Linked DNA regions of Oryctolagus cuniculus. The protein of the gene in region 1 interacts with the protein of each later gene in a biochemical or structural test. Links are inferred from orthologs where the notes say so. Each region holds a gene or a part of one and is shown on either strand. Other genes may lie near its edges.

Region 1 (6,795 bases):
TGCCGGAGTCCAGAAGAGCCGGCTCTCACGGCACAGGCTGAGGGTTGCTCCTAACTGCGGCCTAAGTCCCCCGGCTACCAGCAGGGCCCAGGGGTTCCGGACTCAGCAGAGAGCGTCCAGCGGTGGGGCACGGAGCCACCGCCGCAGCCCACGCGAGGCCGCGTTGCTCGCATTCCTGCTCCCTGCCCCAGCTCCACGCGCTTCCTGCCGCCTGCAGCCTCCCGCCAGGCCCTCCGGCTCCCATGGGCTCCCGGCCAGTCAGCTGCAGAGCCGCGCAAACCCCAGCACACACAGAGGCTGGCATGGGGGTGTCCGGGAGCCATGCTGCCCCCCGTGGTGACTCACCAGCCCTGGCAGAGAAAGGCCAGCATTGTTGTCAGGGGCCAGCGGTTCCCCCGAGGTCCCCCCTGCCACCCGCTCCGTCCCCTCTCCCTATGCTGTGGGGCTAAGCCAGGCCCGGGGGGCCCCCGCCGTCCTGCCATCCCCAGCCCCACCTGACCTGCACAAGCCCCCGACAGGGGCTCCGTGGAGGGGCTCCCGGGACAGGGGCGGGCGGTGTGGCACTGCCGGAGCGGGCCATGAGAGGCGGGACGGAGGTGGCAGGCAGCGGGTGTCCAGCTGGAGTGACCGAAGCTCTGGGGACAGCCGGCTGCCACCCCACTTATCTCCCTCCCACTGTGACCCAGGCTCCCGGGGGGATGGGTGGGGACCTGGGGGCTGAGTCACTTTGGGGAGCAGGGTGGTGCCCGAGCCCCCTCTCCTGCTGAGTGAGGCTCCAGCCGGGCGCCCCCCACCCAGCTCAGTTTCCGTCCCGGGAAAGGAAGGAAGGAAGCGGCTGGGAGGCCCCGCCCTGCTCCGAGACCCAAGGCTGGGAAGACGGGGGCCAGGGAGAGGACCCGGCCCCAGAGCCCAGGGCAGCCCCGCCATGCCTCGGGGGGGGGGGGCAGGGGCCCAGGTGCAGACGCCGCACCCTCCTCAGAAGCACCAGCCCCTTGCCCTTTTCCCCCCAAGGCCCTCCCGGTGCGGGGTGGCTGGGGGCACAGGCTGGGGCTGGCACAGCTGGCTGCCCTGTCGTGGTGTGGGGGCTGTCCCTGTCGTCATGGCTGGGATCAGCTGCACTGCAGCTGCAGCCACCCCAGCCCGGTGTGGCCCAGGGCTGAGTCACCACTGACGAGGCCCTCACAGCCCCCAGGGGGAGGGGCTGCCGCAGCCGTCATCCCCCTGCCCACCTCCCGTCGTCCCGACGCTGAAGGGCAGAGAGGGCGAGAGCGGCCCTCCCCGGACACGGGGCACCGGCCGTGGGCCCCTTGCTGCAGCAGAGCGGGCACTCTCCAGTCCCTGTCCCTGCGGGTGGGCACTGGCCGGCCAGCTGCCCTCAGGCCAGGACCCCCCACACCCAGCCCTGGGAGGCCTGAGCCTTGCTCCTGGAGGTCACAGTGAGCCCAGCACCTCCTGCTGGGGGGGACCCTGCCCCCGGCCTCCTGGCCCTGTCCCCGAGGCCAGCCCGGTTGGCACAGAAGGACCTGCCAGCCGGGGCCCGCCTCGTTCCTCCAAGAATCGCCAGAGGAAGCCGCTCCTAGGGCTTCCTGCAGCCCCCAGAGCTCCAAGGAGCGGAGGGGAAGGCGCGACCCGGGGCACCAGGGCCACCCCACCCTGGGCGGATTTTTCCACAGGAAGGTGAACCGGGCCGTTTGTGTCTAAATCAATGGACAAATGCAGCGGGGTGGGGGGGCTTCCTCCTGGGACAGGGAGGGGTGCCTGAGAAAGACTGCGGCTCCAGGCCTCAGCCCGGGGGCCCTCCCGCAAGGCAGCCGGGCCAGGGCTCCCTGCAGAGACTCTGGCCCTCGTGGCCCTGGGGCAAAAGTCCAGGCTCCAGGGCTCAGCACCTGCGGCCCTGACCTCTCGGAAGGCCAAGAGTGTCCCGTGGGCTCCCAGGCCAGGCCTTGCCCAGGACAAGGAGTCCCACCGGGAGCGCCAGCCCGCCCAGGACGGGCCCCCCGGGGCCCAGCTCACAGCGCAGCCAGCTGTGGTGGGAGAGGGTGGGAAAGGAAAAAGGTCCACGTGAAGGCCCCCGCCCACCCCACACGTTAGGCCCAATACCTCCACTGCCCCCAGGCCGGGGGTTCTCAAAGCGGAATCTGGGGAACCCCTAGGCGGAACCCCCCAAGGGATGTGGTCAACCAAAGAGGTAGGAGACGGCTCTTCCCCAGGGCTCACATGCTTGCCCCGCAGGGTTACTTCCAGGTCCCCACCCCTCCTGCGGCTGGGGGGTCTTTGCTGAAGACTGGGGGAAGGGTGGGCTCGCCCTAGAAGCTTCCTGAACCAGGCTGCGCACAGCAGCTTCTGGGGCCAGCTCTCTCCGAGGGCTTCACCCTACACTCAGACCAGACAGACAGACAGAGACGCAGACGCTGCTGAGGGGCCAGGCTCGCTCCTTCCCAGGGTCCGGTGACTCCGCCCACCGGGCAGGAAGGGCCTCGTCGCCCTGGGCCAGGCTAAGGGCAGGGACAGAGAGCGAGCCGGGAAGGGGGCCGAGCTGTCCTGTCTACCCCCAGTTAGGAACTCGGACTGAGAGAAGAGGGACCCAGAAGGCAGCCGGGGCGGGGTGAAGACTTGTCAAGAGGCCAGGGTGGCCGCACGGGCAGAGGCTGCCGTACCTTCTGGCCAGCGTCAGAGCTCAGGCTGCCTGCACGTGCCCAGTCCGGCTTTGGCTCCCAGGGGTCGTGGGCGGGCGGGAGCCCTCGCTGGGCCATGTCCTCGGTGCAGGTGAGCTGCCGCCGGCGCAGCTCCTCGTCCGTCTCCTTGTCCACTACCAGCAGCCGGGTCTCCCCTTCGACAGCCTTGATCCTCTGCACCACCTGGGGCAGGCAGGGACGGGGGCAGGTCAGCGGCCGGCAGCCCGGGCAGCACGTGGACGGTGGCACCACTCCGGGATGGCCTGGGCTGGCAGGCAGACAGGCAGCCAGGCTGCCAGGGGTGGGCGGCTGGCCCCGCCGGCTCCGCCCCCCGCCCCCGGCTCCCTGACACAGCCAGCCCTGAGCTGCTCTCAGCCCAGGGTGGAGGTGACCAAGACGGCACTGAATGAGCTTCAGGGGCTCGGTCTGCCCGTGCGTGTGCACACGCTCGTGTGTGCGCACCATCTGTTTCCAAGTCTGCCTTCCAGCCCAGGTTGGAGGCGGGAGGTGCTGTCGGGTGTTAGTTTGGCTGTGCATGTTCGCTTGCTTTCAACTTTCTCACGGGAATCTCAACCTGCCCTAGACACAGACCGTCTGCCTGCAGACCACAGACCCACTCCTGCTGGGCCTGCGGACAGCTGAGAGCTGGGTTCCCGCTCAGGCCCCCGCACACGGTCGGGTAAGGAGGACAGCGGGGAGAGGGGCAGGTCTGCCCGTGGCACAGGTGCGGCGTTCCAGGCGCTGTGTGTCTGGGAGCACACAGGGTGCCAGCGTGTGCCAGCAGGGAGAGGGCAGTGCCCACTATGGCCCTCGGCCTGTGGAAGAGCGGAGCAGAAGGCTCCCACCTGCTGCCCAGCTCCCCAGATGCTGTCAAGCAACAGGGGGAGCGAGCCAGGCCCGTCCTCGCCCGGCCCTGCTCCCCGACTTGTGACCCAAACTGAAGCTCCAAGCCTCAGTTTCCATATTTGTAAAGCAGAGTCCCGGCCGCACCTCCTGGGGCTGGGGCTGGGTGTGAAGTTCTCAGACAAGTGCCCAGGGGCCCGGAACAGCAGGTGCAGCTGGAGCGAGGATGGCCATGGCTGTCACACAGAGGCGGGGTGCCAGCTCTGCCAGCCCTGCCTCCCCCACCTGTGGCCCTGACCCCCACTGCACTTCAGCACACAGCACCGCTCTACCCAGCTTCCAGTCTCGCTGGAAGACAGAGGCTAGGGGACCCCGGGAAGCCCGGCCAGTGGCTCAGCTGTCTGCTAACCCCTAGGCCCAGTACTGGCCACGTAGACAGGCCACAGGCTCAGCGGTGCTGTGAGGGACACGGAGCAGCCGGAGCAGCCGGTCCGGAGGGAGGCTGGACTCTGGCCAGGATCTGAGGTGAGTCCCTGGCCAGCGGGAGACGGACATCCCAGGGGTTACAGCCTGCAAGGGAAGAGGCCCTACCCTCTCCAGCTGCAGGAGCAGGGGGCAGTGGCCACAGCGCCCCGAGGAGGGTGAGGGTCGCAGCAGCTATGGAATGTGCCACCAGGGACTGCCAACTCGCACCGGATCCAGGCACCCCGGCTGCAGACACACTGGCCGGTCTACACCGCCCAGACGCGCAGGGGCCTGGCTGCTGGCACCCACACGGGCAGGACCCCGGAGGCCTTGCGCGGTCACACAGTCCCACAGGCTCAGGAAGCACCCGGGTTCACCGACACACAGGCTGGAGCCAGGCGGGGGGAGGGGGCCGAGGGCCGGCTTGGAGCCGCAGTGCGGCCCCTCCCTGCCAGAACGCCTTCCCCCGCGCTGCGGTGCGGGGCTGAGCGTCGCGGGGGAGGTGCGGGGCCCGCCACCCGCAGGCAGCGCCCAGCCGGCCGGGGCGCAGCGCGGCACCCACCTGGTGGTGCGTCTCGCCTTCCACGTTGACGCCGTTCACCTCGACCAGGCGGTCCCCCGCGCGCAGCGCGGCCGCCTCGGCGGGGGAGCCGGGCTCCACGCGCCGGATGAACTGCCCACGGCGGCCCTTCTCGCCATGCAGGTGGAAGCCGTAGCCCTGCTCGCCACGCACCAGGCGGCACAGGCGCGGCCGCAACGGCTCCGGCGCGGCCATGGCGCCCGCTGACCACCGGCCGGCCGCGGGCTGGCCACGGCGCTACGGGGCCCGCAGGCCGGGGCGCGGGGGCGGCGCGGGGGACGGGCGGCCGCCTCGGCGTTGCGCTCGCTCGGCTCCAGTCGCCTCGGGCTCGGGCTCGGGCTCCGGCTCGGGCTCCGGCTCGGGCTGGGGCACCGCCCCCGCGCCCGCCCCTTCCCCGCCCCCGCCGCCCGGCCGCCCCCGCCCCGGGTCCACGACGCGCTGGCCTGGCCCTGCCTCCCGGCCCCAGCTGCCCGAGGGGCTCTGGAGGGGAGGCTTCAGGGCCGGGGAACCCCTGTGTCTGGCAGCACGTTGGTGCCAGCGCTTCTGGCTTCCTGTGCAGGGCCTAGAGCCGGCTCCTGAGCTGGGGGCCAGGTGGGAGACAGTGGCCCCAGGCAGAACCCCCAGGGAGGCCCCGGAGTGAGGCCCTGCCTGCCCTCCCTGGGCGGTCCTTTGCCCACCCGCACGGTTCACCTGCTCCCCAGCCACTGCCCTCACCCCCGGGACCCTCCCGCAGCCAGGGCTGCCCTGCACAGAGCCCCACGACCTGCCTGGAGGCCCCTGGAGGCCGTAGTGACAGGGTGGGCTTTGTGTGCCCGTGGGCTCCCTAGAGGTCGGCCCTCCATTCTCGCACTTGGCTGAGGCCTACCCCAGGCCCCGGCAGACCCTGGAGTCCCAGGCTGCAGGGTCGGTCGGGGGCTGGCCTCCTGCCCCGAGACTTTGGCCTCTGTACTCTGTGGTCAGCACCGGCACACCTGAGCCGAGGTCTCTGGCACCTGCCCCCTGCCTCTGCCACGCCTCCCCTGCCCTGCGGCTGACAACCGCCAGCAGCACTTTGCCTGGCCAGGCCTCTCCAGGTGCAGTTTTACTGGCACAGAGGGAAGCACCCCTCCCCCAGGCCCAGGGCTGTGCGGCCCAAGCCTGCAGCCTTCACGGCTGAGGCCTGAGGCGGCCTGGCCTGCCCCGCCCCAGCCCAGCAGGGACCCCTGCCCATGCCTGCCCCAGGGGTGGGGCGCAGCAGTCCAGACAGTTCCCAGGTGGGCCCCAGTCCTCACCCCTTGCTCTCCCGTCTCCAGTTCTCTTGGCCTGGGCTCTCCAGCCCCCACCCACACCGTGGCCCCCTGGGTGCCCACCTCCAGGAGCTCGTGGCATCGTGGGTGCCCCCACCCTCACCTCTGCAGGTCTTGAGGGTCGGTGCCTTGGGCTGACCACCCGCCTGTCCAGCTGCAGCTGGCACCCTGGACCCTGCGCCCACTGTGTGCCCCCACCCCGCAGCGCCCAGTACCTGCCAGGCTGTAGCTTTGTGGCCACATTGTTTGAGGGGTGAGGAAGTGTTAGGTGGGAAGTTAGAAATGAGCCTGGGTGTGTGTTAGAGCCCTGCCCCAGGGGACGCTCCCCGGGCAATCCGCCCGCCGCCCAGCAGTAACCCTCAGGCCTTCCTCCAAGGCAGGCGCCCTAGGGGAACCTCCCGAGGGCTCCCCAAACCTGGAGAGAAGGGGGAGGGGGTAGAGAGAGAGGCGGGGGCGAGGGAAAACTGGACCCGTCCGTGGGAACCAAGGTCCTGCACTCGGCTGTCTCCTCTGAGCCGCCCGCCAGGCCTGCCAGGCTCCCCGTTCCCCCAGCAGCCTTGCTGCCCCCAGTGTGAGTGACCAGGCATGCGCCCGCTCTCTCCCTGCCGTGGGGACGGACGCCCTGTCCCCAGCAAACCTTGCTACTTAGCGCTGTTGCACGCCTGAACCCCTCAACTCCGCTCACAGAAGGCCCTGGTCCCTCCTCCCTAAGGCAGACCACCACCACCCACCGTGGCCCCAGACTCAGCTGTCTGTCGCCACCCGCCGTGCCCAGGACTGGGCTGCCTGTCACCGCCCCCCCAGGCCCAGGACTCGGTCACAGCCCCCCCCCCCATGCCCAGGACTGGGCTGCCTGTCACCGCCCCCCCCAGGCCCAGGACTGGGCTGCCTGTCACCGCCCCCCCAGGCGCAGGACTGGGCTGCCTGTCACCGCCCCCCCCCAGGC
Region 2 (6,766 bases), on another chromosome or scaffold:
TCAAATATTTTCACGTGTGCATCAACATAATCAGGATTTGTGGAACAGTAAGGGAGCATCAGCTCTGCCTTCTTGTTGCTTAGCAACCAGCACTTTCCCATTCCCAGCAGGTGCAAAGGGGTCCAGGTTTGAAGTTAGGGGGTCCAAGGGTAGAGAACCAATTAGTCTGCATAATAATGAGACTTTCTGGCTCCACTCTGCAAGGAATGAAGCAGTGAAGACAACATTTATCTCCCTCGTTGGGGGTATATTCTGTCCTGTCTCTGAGAATTTGTGCTCACATGGAGAGGTGTGTGTTTTATATGTATGCTTGTGTTCCCATGGTCACCTGCTGGATAATGGAATGAAAAGGCATCCCCAGGGCTCACACTGCTGGGGACACTCAGAACACCTGCATCCTGGTGTTTCTCTGCTCTGGACATTGGATCACAAAGCTTGTTCCCGAGCTGATCTTCAGAATGCCGGTGTCTCCACTGTTCCGCTCTCAGACCGTTCCTGTCTTGTTTGAACAACTCAGTATACCCATCCAGGTTTTCCAAGCAGTGGACTCCACAATGGGATTTAGAATGAAAGGATGGCCGGCTCTGTGGCTCACTAGGCTAATCCTCCACCTGTGGCACTGGCATCCCGGGTTCTAGTCCCGGTTGGGGCACCAGATTCTGTCCCGGTTGCTCCTCTTCCAGTCCAGCTCCCTGCTGTGGCCCGGGAGTGCAGTGGAGGATGGCCCAAGTGCTTGGGCCCTGCACCCGCATGGGAGACCAGGGGGAAGCACCTGGCTCCTGGCTTCAGATCAGTACAGCGTGCCAGCGGTAGCAGCCATTTGGGGGGGGGGGGTGAACCAATGGAAAATGGAAGACCTTTCTCTCTGTCTCTCTCTCTAACTCTGCCTGTCAATAAATAAATAAATAAATAAATAAATAAAAAAAGAATGAAAAGACTATATTAGGGCAAATGCTCAGGTGAGCAAAATTGGGAGGGGGCAGCTGGGGGGGGGGTCTCTGGCATTCAGGAACAAAAGAGACAAGAAGCTGGGCATGGGGTTGGGAGACCCGCAAAGGTACATAGAAGACCACACAGGTCAGCAGAATGACTGTGAAAGAAGGAACTTTCGGAGACTGGGGTGAGCCCAGGGATGTGGAGCAACAGCGGGGCCTGGTTGGTGGTCCACGGGGGGACCCTGTGTGGAGGGAGAGGCCATGGCCAGCTCATGCTTTGAATCGCTCCTCCCACTGTTTCCGCTAAGGCTTTGCCACCTCTTTGCACAGGGCTCTTACCATCAGACTGCACTCCCTCAGTGGTTTCCCAGATGCCTATGCCTTAGTCTCTTTGTGTTACGATAACAAAATATATGAGACTGGGTAACTTAGAAGCAGCAGAATTTATTGCTTACACTTCTGGGAACCCTACGGATTCTCCATCCAAGACCGCAGCTTGAGTGCGTGGGTCTCACATGGTGGGAGACAGACTGGAGGAAAGAGGAAGGAGCCCAGGTCCCCCCTGCAGGGTACAGCGGTCCTCCCTTTCAAACCCTTCCAAGGGCCCTAATTCCATCCCCGCGGGCTCTGCTCTCATGACTTAATGACCTCGTAAAACCATCACACTGGAAATTAAATTTCAACGCATGAATTCTGGGGGACACTGTCAGACCATAGCAATCTACTATATTCCTTTCTTCTTCTCAATAACAACTGGCTATACTTCCAAGTGTCAGAAAATAAAATCGCCCTGTCCCATGCAGTGGTGCGTCAGTTTCTGCTTCACTCCCTTTGAGACCATGCGATATAGGCAAGTCCTGTGGGGTCAGAGCCTCTGACATCTGCCGTCCAAGCTGGATATGTGCTGCTTGGACTTTCCTCCTATTCTTCTCGTCACTTTGACTCCTGAATAAAGGCTGACATCTCATATCACCGTGTGCAGTGTGTTAAGCGAAGGGGACAGACAGTAAAGATGTGTGTAGCCTACCCATACTTACCACTGTCGCTCCATGCAAATGAGCAGCACCTTCTTAAAGAGACAGATACATGATGCTCCCAGTGGTGACCACAGCAACGAAGTGGGTTCATGGAGGACACCATGACCTGGATGAACGCCTGGAAGAGGCAAACCAAGGAGGGATGGGAGATGATTTTCTCTCTCCTAGTTAGAATCAGAGAGAGATGACCCTAGAAGGTTGGGAGGGGGTGATGGAAGGAGAGAATGTTGACACTTGGAGCAAGTTGACCTTTGTGCTTACTCAATGGCAAGTGCATTCCTTGCATTCTCTTACCACCCTCCATCCCACCTCTGGGTGGGTGGAAAGTTAGGACCCTTGCCCCAGGTTTCATTGTTGGTGAAGTCAGGTCTTCACTGCCCTACCCACAAAGCCTATTATAAAGCTCTATGTTGTCCTGGGACCAGAGTGACAGTTGAAGGGCTGAGGGAAGGTGAGTCTGACCATCGAGGGCCACAGAGTGAGTCCCTGAGCAGGAGAGACTTCAGAGGGGCTCCTGAGGGCCCCTCTCCATCTTGGCTCATCTAACCCTGTGTTCACACGCGCTCAGTCTCACGCACCTGACTCTGACACTACCAGCCTAAGCACATCGGCCTTCTGGTTCCAAGCCACAGCTCCATAAACAAATTCTTCTTAATTAGCCTTGGCAGCTCAACACCTTTGGTGTACCTAGCCCATTTACCTGGCACGCCTACTCTTGTTGGATCCGGTTATAAAGTAAACCATGTTCTTTGAGTGCAGTTGCATACAGATGAGTCGGCAGCCAGTCTGAGCCGACCCACAGACCCATAAAAACCAACAGGGCCTCCGGTACCCTCATCCGGGACAGCTAAACTCTTCGACCAAAGGGGCAAGGACTCGCTCACCTCAACAATCAGCTGCCTTCTTGGGGACCAAGAAAATGAGTTTTCGTCTCCACATACACTCTGGCAATCCATGAGGTAAGGGGAGAAACCCCCCATTGTCTCTTTGTAGACAAAAGGAGTGAATTCTTGTGGAAATTGAGCCCTTTCTCCATCCAGACAGACCTGTCCCTCCACTCCCAGGGGATAAAAGTGTGGTTTTCGTTCTCTTCTTTGATGCTCTTGACCCGTGGGTCTCACGTGGGAGCTGCATCCTCCTCGCCCTGGCCGTCTCCCAGTGCCACAGCCAGAGGCAGCGGAAGCCTCCGTTCGCTTGCGCTACACTTGGTGCAGCCTTTTCCTGCTGGGGACAGACAGGGGCGCAGGGTGTCTGTCTCGGGGCGTCGGGGCATCTTCCTGTTGCTGCAAGAGCTTGCTTAGTGGTGGGGCCCCTCTCAGGCCTTTCTCATCTGCAAGACAGAGTATAAAGCTGGTGTCTGGGGCCGGTGCTGCGGCTCACTAAGCTAATCCTCCGCCTTGCGGCGCCGGCACACCGGGTTCTAGTCCCGGTCGGGGCGCCGGATTCTGTCCCAGTTGCCCCTCTTCCAGGCCAGCTCTCTGCTGTGGCCAGGGAGTGCAGTGGAGGATGGCCCAAGTGCTTGGGCCCTGCACCCCATGGGAGACCAGGAGAAGTACCTGGCTCCTGCCACCATCGGATCAGCGCGGTGTGCCGGCCGCAGCACGCCAGCCGCGGCGGCCATTGGAGGGTGAACCAACGGCAAAGGAAGACCTTTCTCTCTGTCTCTCACTGTCCACTCTGCCTGTCCAAAAAAAAAAAAAAAAAAAAAAAAGCTGGTGTCTGCTTGGGAAAGGCATCCACATTGCAGAATCTTGCCCCATTCAGAGTGAAGGTGATCGATTTCTCAACACTTGTTCGGCTCTCCTAGGACAAATGCTCTGTGACATCTGTGTCTCACAGATTCTAGGCATTAGTGGCCCAAAACAAGCTGGGCTTTTGGAATTTGCAAACTTTAGGTAAAACATTTGTCTTTAATCCTGTTAATCAGACATAGAGAACAAAGCAAAACTTAGTGATTGTAGTTAGGAGGCTGTGATGCGTGTGGATTACCTGACTCCCCAGTCCCTACACATTTCCTTCAGTCCTGGGCTGCGCCTGCAGGGTCTCATTCTATGCTGTTTGGGATCAATGCATTCTCACCAAGCCAGCTTCAGTTTGGGAAAGTACAATGAGGTAGAGGTATCTGGGAAGGTATAAGCCATCAGAAATCTGGCTGTTTTCCATGCTGCAGCCAGCATGTCTTCTGTGTAAGGAAGGAAGCGCACCAAGTCAGTGTAGGTGCAAGATGGAACTGGGGGCCGGCGCCGTGGCTCACTTGGTTAATCCTCCGCCTGCAGCACCAGCATCCCTTATGGGCACCGGGTTCTAGTTCCGGTTGCTCCTCTTCCAGTGCAGCTCTCTGCTGTGGCCCGGGAGGGCAGTGGAGGATGGCCCAGGTCCTTGGGCACCTGTACCCGCGTGGGAGACCAGGAGGAAGCACCTGGCTCCTGGCTTCGGATCAGCGCAGCACCGGCCGTGCGACCATTTTGGGGGTGAACCAACGGAAGGAAGACTTTTCTCTCTGTCTCTCTCTCTCTCACTGGCTAATTCTACCTGTCAAATAAGTAAAAAAAAAAAAAAAAAGATGGAGCTGGCAAAGCAGCAAAGATTACTTGTGAACAGTTCTTGGCGCTTTGACGTTGTTGGTGGCTTCTGCTTGGTGCTCTCTTATTTTCTTTACATAAGATACTTGTAATGGCCAAGCGTGCTCTGCTGCAGAGAGATCTGAGACTCGGAACTCCCATGCATGTCCCTTTCCTTTTCCCAGCAACCTCTCATTCCACACTAGGCTGCAGATGGCCCTGGACCTGCTCACAGCTCAGTCATTTTCCAAAGGATGCAGCTCTGACTCACATGCCCTGCCTCCTGCTTGTCCCAGGGCTCGCGGGGCCTGAAGACTTCCTATTTCCTTCTCGCGGAGCTCTTGCCGGAATAGCTTACGCTTCTCCGCAGTCTGACCCTGAGTTTGACCCAAATTTCCTGCCCTTGGCTATCCAAGGGTGCAGTGGTACTACTGGTCTCTTCTTCACATTTCTCCTTCTCCTTGTATATGTGTGGTGGTATCCTGGGTACAGGCCTTCCCCTCATTTGCCTTCCAGTACATGTATAGTAAGCGTGCACCATGTTCTGGAATCTGTATGGTCCTGGGAGATGACAGGATGCTTGCAGTGGCCAACGATGCAGCACTCTGGATGCGTATAGCACCACGCAGGGCTGTGACAAGGAAACAGGCTGCTTGCCCTCTGCTGGGGGACACACCGCTGTGTAAGGACTTCTGCACAGTTCCACCCATGGTGCACTGGCTGTGTGGGCAGGAAGTACAGCATACCAAAGAAGAACAGTCCTCGACACCCTCGGCAGGCAAGATCGGGCCTGGTGGGGGCAAGAGGAAGAACATTCTAGAACAATGGCATGTACAAAACTACACAAGCCTGAGAAAGAGCCCAGCATATCCAGGGATATACCAAGCTTGTGTGGCTGAGGCGGGTGGTGAGTGAAGGTACAAATAAACAGAGGAGAGAAGTCACATTTGGGGAAGGGTCTCCTGGTGGGCCATGCTCAGGACACACTTGGGAACCTTGCTCAGATCAATGCCCATGTAGGGAAGGCTATCTGGTCTGCAAAATGCGGGATGGACAGGAATCGGGTGAGACCATGGCCAAGGAAACCAGTAGGAGGGTCCTAAGGAGACACAGGCACAAAGTCTGGTGGCCAAAAAGCTATGGAGAGTGAGAGGGGGCAGAGGAGGATGACACGGGGCTGGGAAGAGGGAGCCTGGGACCCAGAAACGTCCCCAGAGTCCACACGTCTTATTTTTTATTCCAGCCTCTTCGCAGCAAGGCTAATGTCACTGGTCAAAGGTAAGAGCAGGCACGCGGCCACACGATGGCACACTGTGGATGGCAGGGGTGGTTTTCTTCATGCTTATGCTCACGTCCACCTGTGCTTTTGTGTGATGGGTTCACGGCGCCCAGCCGTGATGGGCAGCAGGACCCGCGTTGGCCAGAGAACCAGCTTTTCAGATGCCTCCCGGGACCGTGGCACTGCATGCACGTGTGGGAGCAAGGAGAGAGACCTCAGTATCCTGGGTGCTCAGGTCCCCAGGGAGGCACTGCCCTGGCTGTGTGGTCAGCCTTGGCTCCAGTCTCTGCTGAGCCCCACTGCAGCCTTGTCAAAGGCAGGGCAGAAAAGCACGTGGCCCCTCAGCGTGTGGAAGCCTGAGGTTGAGACCACGTCAGGAACGATAAAAGGACGGCTGGGAGCCCTCTAACTGCTGCTGTGCCTGCCGTTTGCTGCCTGCAAACAGCGTGCTGTCAGGCGTGCTGGGGTGACGGGGAAGGCTGTTGTCTCGGGCCCCCGCGCGAGCCCCGCAGATGCAGGGAGCAGCGTATGGGGACACATGGCCCATGCGGCACACTCTGCTTGGGAAGCCCTGGGCCGAGTCACACAGGTGGTAGGAGGCAGAGCCGGGACTTAGGATTTTTCTCTTCACTCCGAGGGCTGCCCGAGTCCCCCTCGAGGAGGGCAGTGGCTTCCCAAAGGCCCCAGGGCAGCGTTCCATCTGAATTCCCCTGGTGATGCTGAGGGTCAATAACTTCCTCCCTGAAGCGAACCTGCTGCTATCTTCCTCCATCAGTTCCCAGTGGGCAGCCGAGTCTGGCCCACGCTCTGCTCTGCAGAGACACACGTGCTAAGGAGACACACGTGACCTGCTTTCTGCTGCTAAGAGGCTGGTTGCAAATACTCTGAAATACAAGGCAGAATTTTCCATTTCTTTAGAATTTCCCAACGTCCCTGCCCCTCCCTCTCCTCCAG
Region 3 (6,795 bases), on another chromosome or scaffold:
TTTGGGAAAATGATGGGTCTATGAATAAAGTACTGGCAATTTCTTCCTTGAAGTCCCCTCCCCTCACCATCCAACAGTTCTTAGAAGAAAGGCCCTCTGGGCCTCAGACTAGTTAGGCGAGAGAGAGATACTCACAACATTTGGGTTAAAAGGAGGCGTAATCTTCTTATTAATGAGATCGTCCCAGTTAATTAGAGAGAAGAAGACGTGATTCCTAATCTCCATCTGTTGGGAAGAAGCCCATGATTAGTTCAAACGGGTGGAACTCAGGTGAAGGCAGGGAGGCCCCGCGTGCTTCCCGGAGGGCGGGGGGGGGGGGGGGGAGGGCAGTCACTGTCACTCACAAAGTCATCCTTGGCCCCGAGTCTCTTTGTCCTGTCCTTCTGCAGGAGGCCCTCCAGGAGGTGTCTTGCAGAATTGGTTATATTTGGTTTCAGCTGGAGAGGCTTGTTCAGAATGTTGTCGTACATCTCAGCTGTGTTTCGGCTATAAAACGGAGGCTGAAAGAGCGAGGGAGGGCACTCACTTAACTGGAAGTTCTGTGTCACAGCCTATCAGCGAAGAAAGACTGAAACTAAACTAGCAGCAGGCTGGATTGGAGAAAGGACGTTTTCTTTTGCCCTTGATTTTTTTTTTTTTTTTTTTTTTTTTTTTTTTACAGGCAGAGTGGACAGTGAGTTGCCCTTGATTTTTAAGTGTCTGTTTTGCAACCCTTATAGGGAAGGGGTGGGTGCGATAAGCCATGGTTTTCACCATCACCCAGCTTAAATGTTGTCCTGTGTAGTACAATGTGAAATGGACAAGAGAAAAGTCCAGTAGGTAGGAGATTACTCTCATAAAATAATCAACATGCTTCTCCTATTAGCTCTTGATAGCTAAACCTTATAGACAAGGGCAAGACCAATGCCAGGCCTGCATGTCCTCCCGTGTGTGGGTTAAGCGGGGGTGGCAGAATGTTCTAGGGCGTATCACTGAGGTAGAGGCAGTACCCGTGGTTCCCTGTGTGCGACTCACCAGGCCATACAGCATCTCATACAAGACGGCCCCCAGGCACCACCAGTCCACCGTCCTGTCATAAGGCTGCTTATGAAGCACCTCAGGTGCAAGATACTGAAAGACACAACAGGAAAACAGAGCTTAGAACCTGCAAGACCGGGCAATCCCAAGAGCAGACATGTACTCTGCAAGGACAGACCCAGAGGCAACTCAGGACGTATTCCTTCAGATTACTGCCCGACAAAACCGCTATCCTTTCTGAGGCTAACCGGCCACCTCTGGGTGCCTCTATTTAGGAAGCTACTGGGTAGCTAACAGTTATCATCCTTGGGGGTTTAGAAACCCTTTTATGATGTGGCTCCTACAGATAGGTCATTTCAATGACAGCAACAGGATGTCTTAGAATTTCTCACGCTGCATGCACCAAGCCATGAATGTAATTTGCTCTCACTGAGCTGTACTAAGCACATTTCTGAAGAGTTCAGGAAGTTAGAAGCACTGTGGCACTAGTCTCTCCTGGACGGACTGAGCAAGCGAGCGCCTACCTCGGGTGTGCCGCAGAAGGTGGACGTCGTGCCGTTGTGTTCAATGTTCTCCTTGCACAGCCCAAAGTCAGTCAGGACGATGTGTCCCTGTGAATCTAGTAGAATATTCTCCGGCTTCAAGTCTCTGTAAAAAATGAACAGAGGAGTAGTTGCTGATGTTAATTTCAGTTCATAACAAGTCCTCTGTGAAGCTAACTGCTAAGGGCATTAGGTATTTTAAATTCACTGCAGTTGTGCAGTGAATAAAAAAAGGGAGTCCTTGTTCTGCTGATCTAGTCTGGATTAGGGACAATCCCAGTTGGCCAGTTCCCTAGTGGCATGGAGTCAAGGCAGCTCACGTGCTGGGGGATCTGGTTTTAGGGGACCAGGTGCACGCACACACACTCTCTCACACAATCTTAAGGCTCCCTCAAGCAGGAGGGCTACCAGGGCTCTTTGGCTCACCTATAAACGATGTTCAGAGAGTGCAGGTAACCCAAGGCACTGGCTATCTCAGCAGCATAGAAACGAGCCCGTGGTTCCAGGAAGCAGCGCTCCCTCTGGAGATGGTAGAACAACTGCAGGAGACAGGACAAAGTTAGTCTGGGCTGCCAAAACACTTCACTAGTGACATATATAGCTAACGAAAACAATCGCAGGAAGTAGCCCTAGGTAATCTATTAACTATTTGAAGCCCGGCAACTTTTACCCCCTAAAGACCTTCGAAAACTTCCTTTTTAGACTAAAAAACCAAGCAGGCTGTGCAGAGACCGGCCCCTGCTCCCCACTCGCTCACCTCTCCACCGTTAATGTAGTCTAGGACAAAGTACAGCTTGTCGGCCGTCTGGAAGGAGAAGTGCAGGCCCACCAGGAAAGGGTGTTTCACGTTCTTCAGCAGCACGTTCCGCTCAGACATAATATGCTTCTCCTAGGAGGATGACAACCCAGACTGAGCGACAAACTTCAACTTGGCACCCACTCCCAAGGCAAAGCTGATTCAGTGAGCGTCCACTCACAGCTCCAACCCACCAGCCCCTTCTCCTACCTCCTTCTTTTTCAGGATTGCTTTTTTCTGCAACACCTTGACTGCATAGAAGGCTTCCTCTGCTTTGTGTCTCGCTAGTAGAACCTGAAATTGCAATAAGAAAAAAAAAAATCATCCTTTTTGGGTCCTCATCCAGGGAGAGTGTAAAATGAACACATACGAGAGTATATACAAAGGTCTCCGGATCTGAAATTACCTTTCCAAAACTGCCCTTTCCAATCACTTTTAGGAAGTGAAAGTCTGATGGTTTAGCATGAGGGTTTGATGATGGGCCAAGGTTGATTTGTTGAGATGGACTTGGCTGAAAAATAAAACATTCTCCTTTAGTGTCACCGCTTTCAAAGGCAGACGTCCACAATAAAGCATAAAAGCTGGATGCAAGTCCCATACGTCTATCAACGCACTCAAAACTATTTTTCAACCACACCATGTCATTATTTCAAGTGAGTATGGAGATTAAACGGATAAAACTTTTATGAAATATGCCTTCAGACAATACTCCACTGACTCAATACTTAACTAGTTATGTCACCTGTTATGTCCTTAACTAATGAGACATTCCTGCCTTCATACTAATTTCCAGAAATGCTATTTTAATCCATCAATGTAGGGATACTAGGTGACTCACTTAACAATTCTCCCCCATAGATGCTTCACAAACGGAACGATACTCACCGGAGGCGAAGGGTTGGCGTTCATAAGCTCGGGCTCCTGAGGTTGGGAGATTTTCAAAATGGACTGAACTTCAGTGCTGCAGAGGAAAAAAAAACACACACACGTTGGAGCCTCCTCGCGCCCCACTAGGGGGCACAGCAACACCACCAGTTGAGTTTCTGGCTCGAAGTTTCCCCGGAGAATCCAGGACTTCAACTGCAAACACCCAAAATCATCTACTGGGCCCTTTGAAGCCAACAGTGAGCCCAGCTGTGTACAGAAATTGAGGTGGTTTTTCACGCGGAGGGCGGGCGACAAGGAGGCAAGCCCGTCTCCGTGTTAAAAACGTCTCAAGTAAACCAGGATTTGAGGAGAAATGAGATCTCCACCCCGACGTAACCCAGCGAGGGGAGACGACTCTGCTACCCTGCCGGCGCTACTGACTTTAATTCCCGCAATCCCACCCGAACTTACTGCTTGCACGCATAGGAATTATTAGCGATCTTCTGAATAAAGTCGTTCAGGCCCATCCTCCTCTGCTTCATGAACGCTGTGAATGAAAGAGGAGAAATAAACGAATGCTCAGATGGCTTCGTAACGTCCGCCGCCACACACACTCCGTGATCCGCGACCTTCCGAAAACTCGCACCGCGCGGCGGCCTGACTCCTGCACTCACCGATGAGGATGGCCACCATGCCCCTCATCCTGGAGTAAGTGAGGGGGCCCCTAGCAGCCTCGGTTTTCACGGTCATCGCCACGGTGAGACCACAGCGAGTCGTTGGGAATGAGAGACCGGCTCAGCCAACTCTGCGCTCGGGCCGCGCGCCCGGCTTTATAAAGGCTGCGCCGGCAGGGGAGGGGCCCGACCGGCGACAAAGGAGCGGCGCGGCCCCGCCCCCCAGCGCAGGCCCCGCCCCCGGCCGCCGCGCCGCGTCCCGGCGGGACGGCAGCCCGCGGCGGGCGGTTCTGTCCCCAGCCTGAGGGCGAGCCGCGGGCGGAGGTGGGGGACTCGGGAGCCGCCCGGGGAGGGCAGTTTCGCCAGTGTTCGGCGCCCCGGGGCGCGGGCGGAGGTGGCGGGAAAGGATGCGGAGTAATTTTCCATTTTTCTCATTTATTCCGTTCGGCGAGGAAGTCAGGGTAGCAGCGCCGAGCTGCCTTCCGGACGCAGCCCGGCGGGCCGGCGGCCCTGCGCGAGCCCACACCCTCCCCCGCAGTTGCACTCTCTCGGCGATAGATAGCCCGGGACCCCCGCCCCGGCGCCCCCCGGTTTCCTCCCCGCCGAGGCCGGGCGGAGCGTGCGACCGCCCGGGAGTTCTCTCAGGCGCAGGCGTCTCAGCGCGCCCTCATCTGCAGGGTCAGCGCGGGGCCGGAGCTCCCGGGCCGGTCCTCCCCGCTCCCGCCGCCCGGTCACGCCGCTCTCCGTCCACCCCCCACCCCTTCTCCCGAGCCCGAGAACCGGGCCGGAGCCATGCGCCCGCGCGCACCGGAGGAGCCAAGTCCCCGCGGGGGCCGAGGCGCGCTTACCCAGTCCGCTCAGCAGGAAAGACTCGCTCCTTTTCTGCGCCTCGGCCCTCTTTTTGTGGCGGGGCCGGAGCAAGGACTCGAGCCGGGCCCTGGCGAGCGCTCCCTGCATCTCCCCCATGGGCAGCGGGCGGCGGGCGAGAGCGACCGGAGAGCACTGACGTTTCCTTGAAGGAGCCGCCGTGACTCAGGCCGGGCAAGATTTCCTGCCCGGGTCCCAAAACAAACAAATGGCCCTTGTGCACGGCCGAGCCGCTTCCGAAAACGCCTTTTTTGTGCTTTTGGCCAAAACCAAGCAAGGCTGGAAAAAAAAAAATCCCAGAACTTGGAAGAGGAGGAAGGAAGGAAAGAAGGAGGGAAAAGGGGGGGGAGGGGAGTCAGGAATGTGTAGGGGAGGGGGCGGAAGCAAAATTCGGCTCTGCATTGAAGACAAAGTGCAATCTGCAGCCCCCCCCCACCCCTTTTGTAATTTCTAGAGAACATTCTGTCCGTTTTGCGTGCACTTTTTTTCCCCCTTGCATTTTAATCCGCGCCACGCCGAGAACACGTGAGGAGGCCGGTGAGGGCGGCGGCGGCGGCGGCGCGGACCTGGCGTGACCCGGGCGGCAGAGGGCGGCGGCGGCGCCCGGCCCGCGCCCGCTGCTCTGCCGCCTCAGAACTCCGCAAGGTCAACGCTACCCTGTCTTAGAATCCCTTCGTTTGCCCTCCTCGTCCCTGCCGCCCGCAGAGTCGCCTGCGTTGGGCTGTTTCCCGCAAAGTGGCGTCTCCTGCACCCCCACAGGGACGAGCCGGTGACGGCGCTCCGGCGCGCGGACCGGGGCTGGAGGCTGCCCGCGGCGGCCGGGCTGTGCAGGCGGCGAGGCCGCTGCCTTCCAGTAACCCCGTCGCTGGGAGCCGCCGGGGCGCTGCAGCCCAACCGCGGGCGCGGGGACGCGCGCCAGCGCTGGCCGGGGGGTGTCTCTGGCTCAGACCTGGCCGGGAGCGGCAGAGACGGCTGCAAGTTCCCCCTCTTCGCTGGGCCGGGTACCTGGCGCTCGCCGCTGCCGTCTGCGGTGGCTGCCCTGCCCTGACCCCTTGCTGCCCTGCCATTTTAGAGTTTGCCTACTGGAGCCTCCACACTCCCAAACACCAGCTGTCGACCCAGGAATAGCCTGCGAGGCGCTTTTTCCCTTGGTCTTGGGCAAGGATTTGTTGTGCAGGCACAGCCACCTCGTTTGCCCTAAAATGATCTAGTCTGGTATCCTGCTTGGGTTTTTCGGTCGCAACAGCCCCAGCTCGGGAGAAGAGAGCATGCATCCTTCTCTCTCTTGGAGACTGGTTGATGAAGTTTGCTTAGTGCTGCTCTCTTAACACAGCACGGGCTCCAACTTAAAGCAAGGTTTGGGTAATTCCATATCATAGTAATTGGCCCGTGTCTGCTTCCTTGTGAACAGATTCTGCCCAGAATACCAGCTATTGCCATTGTACCCCTGGCCCATGTTCTGCCAGTCAACCAACCCAGCCCGGTCCTGTTCCCACCTGTTCCTCGCCAAGTCTTGCCTTGACAAGACAGCAAACATCACTCAGACTGCCTACAAACATCAATCTGCCCGAAGAGTCTTGCCTTTTGTTTTAAAACACTAAATTAAGAAATCAAAATCCCCGCCCTTCCCCCCCTCCCTGCTCCTCACAGGTGCCTGGCCCATGCCCAGTAATTTCAAAACCTCTGGGCATCCTTGTGTTACCGGCTCCATCCAAATCAGAGTTCGGAAAGCACTAACCTTTCAAAGGGGATTTGATAGCCTCCTCTTTCATTCTTCAAGCTGCCCAGGATATAAGGTGGAGGACTGATTTCTGGAGGCTGGAGGTAGTAAAGCTCACTTGTGATGGGACTTGCCTCCCTGCTTCTGTCTCTGAGATGATAAGGGAGGCTGAGCCAGAGGCCAGCTGTCCCGGTTCTGCTGCGAACCCCACTTTATATCTAGGGAATTTACATACAGGAAGGGAGCAAGCTGCAAAGTTCATCACTGGGCCATTTATTCCAACCCCCCCCCCCTTGCAACATCATCCAGCAA

What was found.
Region 2: the proteins of NHERF2 (region 1) and KCNJ1 form a complex in vitro, tested with the Homo sapiens proteins (2 studies listed by BioGRID and IntAct, with this or other methods). The link is inferred for Oryctolagus cuniculus from reciprocal best matches to the Homo sapiens genes NHERF2 and KCNJ1.
Region 3: the proteins of NHERF2 (region 1) and SGK1 form a complex in vitro, tested with the Homo sapiens proteins (2 studies listed by BioGRID, with this or other methods). The link is inferred for Oryctolagus cuniculus from reciprocal best matches to the Homo sapiens genes NHERF2 and SGK1.

Annotation. Positions count from the first base shown.
Region 1 is NC_091450.1:33,194,696-33,201,490, forward strand, and holds the start of NHERF2 (Na(+)/H(+) exchange regulatory cofactor NHE-RF2), read right to left. Parts: upstream 4,809-6,795; 5' UTR 4,759-4,808; coding exon 4,546-4,758; intron 2,859-4,545; coding exon 2,658-2,858; intron 1-2,657.
Region 2 is NC_091432.1:122,489,095-122,495,860, reverse strand, and holds the start of KCNJ1 (ATP-sensitive inward rectifier potassium channel 1), read left to right. Parts: upstream 1-2,727; 5' UTR 2,728-2,931; intron 2,932-6,766. UniProt on the Homo sapiens protein: Inward rectifier potassium channels are characterized by a greater tendency to allow potassium to flow into the cell rather than out of it.
Region 3 is NC_091436.1:34,690,901-34,697,695, reverse strand, and holds the start of SGK1 (serine/threonine-protein kinase Sgk1), read right to left. Parts: upstream 4,017-6,795; 5' UTR 3,973-4,016; coding exon 3,897-3,972; intron 3,770-3,896; coding exon 3,694-3,769; intron 3,317-3,693; coding exon 3,241-3,316; intron 2,867-3,240; coding exon 2,762-2,866; intron 2,650-2,761; coding exon 2,566-2,649; intron 2,449-2,565; coding exon 2,317-2,448; intron 2,099-2,316; coding exon 1,986-2,098; intron 1,666-1,985; coding exon 1,542-1,665; intron 1,111-1,541; coding exon 1,015-1,110; intron 501-1,014; coding exon 345-500; intron 226-344; coding exon 136-225; intron 1-135. UniProt on the Homo sapiens protein: Serine/threonine-protein kinase which is involved in the regulation of a wide variety of ion channels, membrane transporters, cellular enzymes, transcription factors, neuronal excitability, cell growth, proliferation, survival, migration and apoptosis.